2 linked regions of the Arabidopsis thaliana genome follow. The protein of the gene in region 2 interacts with the protein of the main gene of each other region in a pairwise test. Each region holds a gene or a part of one and is shown on either strand. Other genes may lie near its edges.

Evidence for each region.
Region 1: the proteins of FIB (region 2) and ABI2 interact in binary tests that used the Arabidopsis thaliana proteins (3 or more experiments, as listed by UniProt).

The regions. Positions count from the first base shown.
Region 1 is NC_003076.8:23,084,910-23,090,133, reverse strand, and holds ABI2 (Protein phosphatase 2C family protein), read right to left. Parts: upstream 3,013-5,224; 5' UTR 2,415-3,012; coding exon 1,902-2,414; intron 1,820-1,901; coding exon 1,523-1,819; intron 1,377-1,522; coding exon 1,271-1,376; coding exon of another isoform or gene 1,248-1,270; exon of another isoform or gene 1,187-1,247; coding exon 831-1,186; 3' UTR 506-830; downstream 1-505. Other genes in the region: AT5G57040 (Lactoylglutathione lyase / glyoxalase I family protein), read left to right, coding at 5,018-5,068. UniProt on the Arabidopsis thaliana protein: Repressor of the abscisic acid (ABA) signaling pathway that regulates numerous ABA responses, such as stomatal closure, osmotic water permeability of the plasma membrane (Pos), high light stress, response to glucose, seed germination and inhibition of vegetative growth.
Region 2 is NC_003075.7:1,929,634-1,934,498, reverse strand, and holds FIB (fibrillin), read right to left. Parts: upstream 2,617-4,865; 5' UTR 2,339-2,616; coding exon 1,893-2,338; intron 1,551-1,892; coding exon 1,355-1,550; intron 1,268-1,354; coding exon 953-1,267; 3' UTR 549-952; downstream 1-548. Other genes in the region: AT4G04025 (transcription repressor), read left to right, coding at 1-405, 476-490. UniProt on the Arabidopsis thaliana protein: Probably involved in light/cold stress-related jasmonate (JA) biosynthesis. Contributes to the protection of photosystem II (PSII) against light stress.

The sequences.
Region 1 (5,224 bases), on a different chromosome or scaffold from region 2:
AGAAGAAGAAATTGAAACTCTTGAGAAAGTAAAAAACACTCTTTTACTAACCAACGCTTACTTCTTTCCTTTTTTATGAAATAAGAATAATAAAACAATGTTATTCGAAGAGATTAAATTTTTCACAAGACTAATTTTATTTATATTCTTTCACATTTAAATATGATATTTACCTTTTTGTGTAATTGTTGAATAATGTTGATGTGATAAAAAGATGATTTTTCTTGGGGATAAAAGCTGCCTTACACACCACTTTACAATTAACTTGTGATATAAGTATGTATTATTTTGTCTTCAATCACCTACAATCTAAACATTCACATGGATTTACAAATTATTGTGACGTTTATTCAACCATCCCATATTCTGGTTGGTTTAGTAGATTTAAACAAAATGAAAAAATTATGGTGATGAAGACTAATGTAATTTTTGGTAATGAAAAAATGATGTCAATACTATTGAAACTATATCACTCTAACGAAAACACACACACAAAGAGAAGTTATGAAACATCAAATAATAACACTAAATATTTACGTAGACGAATGTAGTGTTATTACAACTAACCCCAAGATAAAAAAAAATACAAGGGGGCTTTTTGTTTGGAAGTTACACTATTCCCATGTACATTATATATATCATGTTAGTAAAATAAATATAAAAAGATTAAATAATGGTGGGAAGACTAAGAAAGTAAATAACAAATTTAAGCAGGAAATTAATATTACAATGTAATTATTACCTGTTGTTTTATCTTTCTTTTTTCACTAAAGAGAATTTTTACCCACCATCAAAACTTTTTTTTTCACTTTTCTTCCAAACCTTCTTTTTCAATTCAAGGATTTGCTCTTGAATTTCCTTATTCCCTTCAAATCAACCACTACCACACTTATATTGTCTTTGCTTCCTTTTTGCAAAGCCATCTTCGACAAATACTCTGCCGCGGACATTGCTGCAGGATCTTTTCCTTCTCCTCTTTTCTCCGCCGGAAGCAAAGCCTCTCCGGCCATCGCGTTCTTCTTATGCCATAGTAAAATCCGTTTCCGAGCCAAATCGCACACTTCTTCGTTTGTCATTACATCCCAAAGACCATCACTTGCTAAGATGAGACAATCATCTTCTTTTACTCGCCGCACTGAAGTCACTTCTGGATCCGGAATTACTGACGGTTTAAGGTATCTATCGCCTGTTCGCGACGGGTTGTAATGTAAGGAAACAACTAAAAGAACCAAATTCATGGATCATTATCAAGAGAAAGTTAAATAATTACCAATGGATCTTGACATTGCGAGAACACCAAATACACGAGCCCCGTTCCACCGGATTACTTTCCCACCGGCAGCTTCTATCCTCGCCGCTTCATCATCCCTATCCGGCTACACATAAATGTAGACCCAAACGCTATAAGTACATTAACTAATCTATAGAAACATGCTATGATTGGTAACACCATAACAAAAAACCGCAAGTCCTAATGAATATATGATTGTACTAATTCATTCATAGAAACATCTATACTTACTTTGTGATCAACCGACAACGCGAGTGGCGTTTTGCCGCGACACAAAACCGCCCTAGAGTCGCCGCAATTCGCGACAAAGATGTGAGTCGGAAAGACAACCGCAACCACCGAGGTAGACCCAACAGTTTCCGGAGCATGAGCCACAGTTTCAATCTCCGAGTCAACTCTCATAAAAGAGTTGAACAAAGCCTTCTTCCACTTCTCTTGCCACGTGTCACCGTCACAAAACTCCGGTTTCTCCTTCACTATCTCCTCCGTCAAAGCCAGATGCATCCTCTCACGACAATAATTCGCTACCTAAACACACAAAAACAAATGTCAAAAACCAAGTTTTTGCAGTTTCCGATCATATCATATCGAAACCAAATCGATTCATTACCTGAGAACCGCCATGGCCATCGTAAACACCAAAGAAATGAGCACTCAAGTGAGGATTAAATCCATTAGTGACTCGACCATCAAGCAACGAACTAGAAGAAACTTGAAGGAATCTAGGAATCGTTGAGACAGAATCTTCCATCTCTGGTCGTCTACCACAAATCGAAGTCACTCCATATAAAGGAACACACTTGAACTCAAACAGACTTCTACTCTCTGTTCTACTAAGTACTTTCTTCTCACTCTGATTCATCGATCTCGGATCAAACTCATCTGAACCGTTGATTTCATCTCCGGCGGAGATATCCACACCTGCCATAGCAGATGATGATGATGTCAATGAATCTTGTCTTGTATTGATCTCAAAGGAAGAATCTTTCATAGCTCCGTCGCCAGAACAAGAACTTTCCGGTAAAGTAACCCTAGATTCACCGTTGCAATAGCCTCTAAGTCCGGCGTGAGGGTCAGTGAATGGTCTGAATGGAACAGCGACTGCAGGAGAAACTTCGTCCATTAAAGGAGGAAAAAAAAAGAAAAAAGAACTTTCTTGAACTTTAACAAAAACCCAAATCAGGAATCAAAGTTGGGAAGAGAAAGGAGAGAAATTGAAGTTGGATATCTAAGTATTCAAAGAGACAGATGTTAGATTGTTAAAACGCTTGGGTGTAAGAGAAAAGAACGAAAAGTCAGACAGATTTGAACATAATAAAAATTGATGAGAGTGTTGTTAACTTTATTAGATGAAGATGAAGACAAGAAACTCATGACTCATTAGAGGAAAGTGAAGACAACCTTAGCTAGCACATGAAACAGATAGAGAGAGATTTGTCAATTAAAGAACCAAACACACACAAAAAAGAAAAAGCAAACGTTTTCCCGAGGAAAAAAGGACTAAAATCAGAGTTTCCTGGATTCTGGGCAATTCGTTTCAGCCATTTAGAGATTCTGAACTCTCTCTCTCCCTCAATTAATTTCCAACCAAAAAAACTTTTTTTTCTCTTTCTTTCTCACAAACAAATAGTTTAGGGGATAATCAGTTTTAAAGAGAGAGGTCTTTATTTATTAAAAAAAATAGCACAATGTGAGATGTTTTAGTGAACAACAAAGTAATTAGAAAGACTTAAGGAATTGTGGAAACAAAAACAAAGGGTATTTATTTTATTTTGACTTGATTAAATTTTATTTCTTATTCTATTTACTATCGTGTCACCCCTCCATTATTATTGGGTATCTTTATAGAAGTTTTGAATACAGATGTTTTATACGTTTCCTATTTTACCAAAATATCTTGCATTAAACGTTATGAAATTAGATTTAAGATAAATCCAAACTTTTTACATAATGAGTAATTTACTTATTTCACATAAAAATAATATCTCTTAGGAATTGCTCTTTTCTTTTGAGCTTTAATCAAAATTGGTCGACAAAAAACGTAATTTACTTATTTTATACAAAAACAAATTTCTTTTATTTTATTTTTTGTTTAGTGTAACATGCCATATGTCACAAAAATATATTTTATAGTAAAAGATGAAAACACCAAAAAATATACAAATTATGATACAATTTTTATTAGTTTAGTAGAAAATATATTCATCTACACTGACCACACTAGTACATTAATGCTACTAATAAAAATGAGGTACTATAATAATTACAAAATTTACTGACTAGAGAGCTTGCTCTGATATTTTTGGTTCTAGAGTTCAAAATAAAATAATGACAATCGGGTGGATACCAAAAACAGAAAGGAGGAGAATCAAACTCGAGAAGGCAAGAAGTGTTGTGTTGTCAACAGATGATTCTTTTTACTTCCAAAACAATATTGAAGAAAAAAACAATATTGAAGAAAAATAAAATCATTTTCGAAATAACAATCAAATGGGTCCCATTATTGTCGGAAAACAGACCGGATGATCGCCACGTAGACAGAGAGAAAGTCATTAGATTTGGTGAAGAGGATGGCGTGTACGGTGAGAGATCTGTTAGTTGGGATGGCGGGAAAAGATGAGCCGAAGAGGTTCATTGCACTGACATAGACAACACCTCTCTTTTAACTTCCGTAAATATCTTTGTGTTTCCTTTTTTATTTGGTGTCTGTTTTATTTATTTACTTGTTTTTAAACAAAAATAATAATACGTGTTCCATAATCATTGGACCATGTAATGATATGTGAAGTGAAAGTAGCTTTGGTTGGGCAACAAATACACTGAACCAATCGTATAGTTATATAACTAAAAACGTATATATGAATTTCTGTTTTTATTTATTTATTTACGATTTCATGAATATTTTTTATTCACTGGATATGAGTCATGTGACCTTGATTTTATTTTTATTTTTGAGATATACGTAGATAGATAGACGCATGCAATTTCTTTAAAGTTAATTCATTTTTTTTAGGATCTCTCGCAGCTGTCAGATAAAGTAAAATATCTTTCGATATAAAATAAAAAACAAAACCAGCTCATATTGTATAGTATACTATGTGTCACATATTTTGAGATGATCAGTTGCTACACGGATCTGTTAAAACTTAAAAGGTAGTATTGAATAAAGTGGCGGTCACATAGAAGTACAACTAATATCTATTTGTTAAATTTTGTCAATATGATATCAAATACAAAATGATAATAAGAAAATTATATAAAATTAGACCATATTCTTAAATTTTTATACATAAAGCTAAAACATCTAAACTTCATTACAAGGTAAGAGAAATTTGACGAATCTGGAAGTTATTACTGAGTTATTTTCGCTCGAAATAGTAAGTTACCAACTTACCATTTTTGTGAAGCTGCAAAAATAGTGAGACGTGAATCACCTATTGGACTGGGCTAGGCCCATCGATTCTCTGATAAACTTTCATTAAATAAACGTTTGACTTTTGCCACCACACCGCATGTTTGATTTTTTGTTGTCGTTGAAACAATTATATTTTTCGAGACAATACGAAATTGATTTTCCCAGTGATTATGTGGCTGAGTGGCTCAGGTTTTGTTTTTCTCCTTAATTTTCTTGGCCAATAAAGAAAATAAAAAACATGAAATCATTACTTTAAAGACAAAAAAAAACTCTTGCTCCTGTGTTGAGAGCCTAATCCAAGATTCTCTTCCATGGCTTCTATTTTCAGACCTTCTTCAGCTTCACTTGATTTACGACCAAAGGTATCAAACAAATAAGCTTCTTTATTCACTCCTAGCGTTAGGTTACTCGATTTCCAGAAATTGTTGTTTAGGGTTCTTACCTTTTGGATGATCTTGAGATAGTCCTAGACGCTAATCTTGTAAATTTGGCAATTAAGGGCTTCTTTTCTTTAGTTT
Region 2 (4,865 bases):
AGACTCAGCATTTCTTCTTCTTCCTCGGTGGAAGCAGACAAGAGTTCAAGATTTTCAGACCATCACGGTTCGCTCTCTAGTCTAGCACACTACATGGTTCAGGAGAAGCTAGAGCAGATGATCAGAGAGACACAAGAAGCCACACATCAAGAGAAGATAAGACAACAAAAGATGAGAAGAAGAAGAAGAAGAAGTGAGGGTAGTATCAGTAGCACTAAGTTCATTGTCATGATGGCGATGGAGAAATGTTCTTTTGATCCAAGAAAGGATTTTAGAGACTCTATGGTTGAGATGATTGTAGCAAACAAGATCAAAGAAGCAGATGAACTTAGAAGCCTCTTGGAGTACTATCTATCGATGAATCCTCGCGAATATCGGTCTGCCATTCTCGAGATCTTTTACGAGGTTTGTGCTGATTTGTTTCGTAGCTAAGAGTGAACAAAGATCAGTTGTTTCTTTCAAATGTTTGTGTAAGATACCTGGTTTGTAACAAACCGGTTTTCTAAGTAATAAATAGATTTACCACCATTCATAAACCAAAAATAACTGAAATTAAAATTACAGAACTAGATACAAATTTTGGTTTCAATTTGGTATCCCCTTTGTAAACTCAAACCAGACCAAAATGCTGACAACCTGATCCAATCCGAGTCAAAAGTTCGAACTGAAACTAAACCGGAAAACCGAATGCCATACAGAATGCAAACCCTCCTAGTATACCAAATTTGAACCAATGCTAAGTGTTGCTGTTGCAAACCCATAACTGGCCTGTTCAAGTATGTAGTTATGTATATGTATTGTAGTACAGTATACCAAGAGTAACATCCATTATAAGTTTATAACTCTCCAACAGGTAAAGAAGCTATATAACAGTTACAACACTAGTAAACATAGACAGATGGGTCTATACTTGTATATATGTTACTATGGATGTGATGAGAGTTATGATGATTTAAGGGTTTAAGAGAGAGCTTCCTTCTTTGATGAGCACATAGACGCTTCCACCATCGCCTCTCGAGATCCGAAGGTCCTTGTCGAGATAAGTTGTGAGCAGCCACGACTGCGTGTTGTCACTAGGCAGAGAAAACTTCAATGGTGGTTGGTTTGAAATGGTTCTAGCCACTGAAGAAGCAGTGTCTTGGACTGATGTAAGTAAACCTTTAATGGGATTGAGATCGATTTTCTGACCAAGAACCTCCACGGATTCCGGTATTTCAATCGAATCCGTTAGCTGAGGAGTCCCTATAACACCTTGCTCGAACTTAATCTACAACAAACAAAACAAAAAAAACAATTAGGTTATGTAACATTAGCATTTGCCATTTGTGGTTTTAGGGGATGATTCTTGATTTACCTGGACACGTTTAGGACTTCGGATTTCAAACTTAGCGTTGGTGCTAAACGACGTTGTGGAAAACGGACCAGCGAACCGGACAGAGTTTTGAACGGTGAAGCTATCGGAATCAATGGTTTGTGAGATCTCATCCACTTTAACCAACGGTTCAATTCTTCGTGAGAGCAATGGGAACAACCCCACGAACGACGTGTAGCTTCACGAGATAAACACTTAAAAACTAAGTTCTTGATTCATAACAATAACGGCTAAAAATAAACGAAGGCTCATAACTACACACAGAATCATAATCCAAATTCATAATTAAATCTTCTTTGTAACCACAACTTGCTTTTCACTATCAAAATCAAATCATTCATAACGGAACTAAACAGTTTTCACCGGGAAATTAAACTTCCACCGGTAAGTTTAAAGTATCATTAACTTAATTGGTAAAGATCCTAGACGAAGCTTAGAGATCACCGGTTTGAGTAATGTTTGGGACAAAACTAATATTACATGCCGTGCCTAGGAGAGTATCAGAACTAAAAGTACTTACGCGAGGATCCATTTGCCGTTGAGGAGAAACAGAGCTTCGTTAGGAGCTGGAGTAGGGTTCTTAGACTCGAGCTGTGTGATGAGCTCGCTGATCTCAGCTCTCGTATCACTCGATACGCTTAAACCTCGATCTGTTCCGTACAACGAATCCGCTAGTGATCTCTTTAGCCTCTCCGTCTCCTCCACGGATTCGATTGCTTTATCTGCTACCGATACGGTTGAAGATGAGGCAAATACTCTCTCCACTCCATCTTGACCCCATTCGTCGTCGATGTCCGTCGCTCGGATTTTGAAATCTGGCCGATGAACAGAGACTCCAATCTCCGATCGCCGATTTATTGAGTTAATCGGTAGTAGGATCGGAGATTTCGATTGGTGTTTAGTGTTTGATGAGCTTGGATTTAGGGTTTTGCAGGGAAACTGGGTGAACAATGGTACCGTCGCCATTTTTGTGTTTGTTCTTCAGAGAAACCTCACGAATTAGGATTTTATAACCGTTGAGCTGGACTGTAAATGACGTATATACCCTTATCTGGTACACTTTCTTATGAACATATAAGTCAAGATCCAAGGGATAGAATAGGTATTTGGAATAGAACAAATGAGGTAAGCTAAGGTGGGATTTTGACACGTGGATGGTTAAAGATCATTGTTTTAAGAATCGACCTGGACTCGTGTGAAGTTGCCGACTTTATGAAAAATTCATAAAATTTGTGGAAGATTTTATTTTCTTCAATAGGGAAACAATTTGGTTTAATTTGGTTTTTGTCCCATTATTTGTGTGGGGGAGAATTTGTTTGGGTTTTCTACGAGAGTTAGGCCATGCAATGCAAATGGCATGATGGATCTAGAATCTTCGGACGTGTACTATACTTTTTGGCCGGTTTTGGTGATCTTCGATCTTCAGTTTTCTGAACGGTGAAGATTCTCTCCAATGCAAAATATCTAAACGGCGATTAATCAACAGTGTAATAAGTAGTTGGACTAAATGGGCCTGGATAGTATATTTAATGGGCCTTTATTAACAAAGAAGACCCATTAAAAATTTAAAATGAATACAATAGTTTTGTATCCAATAGACCAATAGGTCCAAAACGTTCTTAAAGGGAGAAAAATTAGCTGGTAAAATAATAGTACCGGTGTTTGTTCAAAAAAAATAATAATAATAATACTGGGCAGGTGTAGATATTCGGGTACTCATATCTGTTCGGTTCTTTTTTTTTTTGAGTATCGGATCTATTTAGGTATGAAGTTAAAAACCATTCATGTATTCTAAAATTTTGGTTCGGTTTTGGTTTGAGTTTGGATCGATTTAGTTATTTTAGTAAGAATTGAAAAATAATCAAAAATACTCAAAATATTTTTGGGTTCAGGTCGAGTTCGAGTTTTTTACTCATCTATACCTAAATCTAACCGAGATGCCTGATTAGTTTATCCAAAAATATATTAGTTATATTTTACCAAAATATAACCAAATGTAACCAAAATACTTAAATTACTTAGAAAACTATAGGGTGAGTTAAAAATATATACATGGATAAACAGAATATTAAGAATTTATACATAAAAATATGTTATTTACGTAAATAGGAAAGAGAAATAAAATATAAACCAAAAAATATCCTTCCGGTTTAGATTAATTACAAAAATGCCATTGATTCAAAATACTTTAATATTTAATTGGGAGATTTGCAAAACTGCCCTTATTCTAATAACCTTTTGTAAAAATGTCCTTTCCTGAAGGCCATTTTTAAAACTACCCTTTCTAATATGGCAAATGACTGTCTTACCCTTACTGAATGATTAGGTTTCACATTCGTTTCACAATACAATTCGTTTTGGCACAAACTTCTTCGTTTTGGCCAACGAATTTTCCTATCCGATTTCACTCAAAATCGCCGGCGAATTTCCTCTCCGATTTCACTCAAAATTGCCGACGAATTTCCTCTCCGATTTCACTCAAAATCGCCAACGAATTTCCTCTCCGATTTCACTCAAAATCGCCGACAAATTTTCTCTCCGAGAAACCCCAAAATCGCTGACGAATTTCCTCTCCGATAAATCTGTTCTTCGCTGACGGATTCAGATCATTTCTCTACGACGCAAACAATCCCCAGAGATATCGATAGATCCGACGGTAACCGTTTTTATAATCGATTTTATAGTCGATTTTATAGTAGATCTGACGATGTTTCATAACATGTTTTGCAGATGGATTCAGAGAGTGAAATCCTTACATTGCCTGAACAGATCTACAGAGAAGGTGAGGAATCTATTGCACTGGGAACCGTTCAACAATACTTGGATTGGAATTTAGTTAGTAAAGTAGAGGAAGCTTTAGGCGAGTGTTTATTTCAGAAGATTAGAAGTTCGTTTCTTGGTCTTCTAGTTGAATTGGGACCAAAAATGAAGGCTAAGAAGGGAATCAGATTTTCTGGGAAAATCTTTCACTATCTCATGCAGCAGAGAGTGAAAACAAAAGGATCAACTCTTTGGTTTAGAGTTGATTCTCAACCTATCTGTTTCTCCTTGAGAGAGTTCTATCTCACAACAGGTAATAAAGTTTTACAATCGTTTTTAAAGCTTAATTAACTGTCGTAGAATGATTTACAAGGCATTTGCATAACTGTTTGCGTAGTTTACAATCATTTTTAAAACATAAGTAAGTGTTATAGATAATTTACAAGGGATTTTAAAAGCTTTTAAAAGGGGTTTACTTCATTAACAATTATTTAAGAAGCATAAGTTAGTGGCAGATAATGATTTACAAGGGATTTTAAAAAGGGTATGCATGGTTTACAACCGTTTTTAGGCATAAGTAACTAACATAGAATAATTTACAAGGGATTTTAAAAGCTTAAAGAAGTGTTAAACACGTTTACATGGGATTTTAAAAGCATAAGTAAGTGTCTTAAAACGATTTACAAGGGATTTTAGAAGTGTTTGCATGGTTTACAATCGATTTTAAAACATA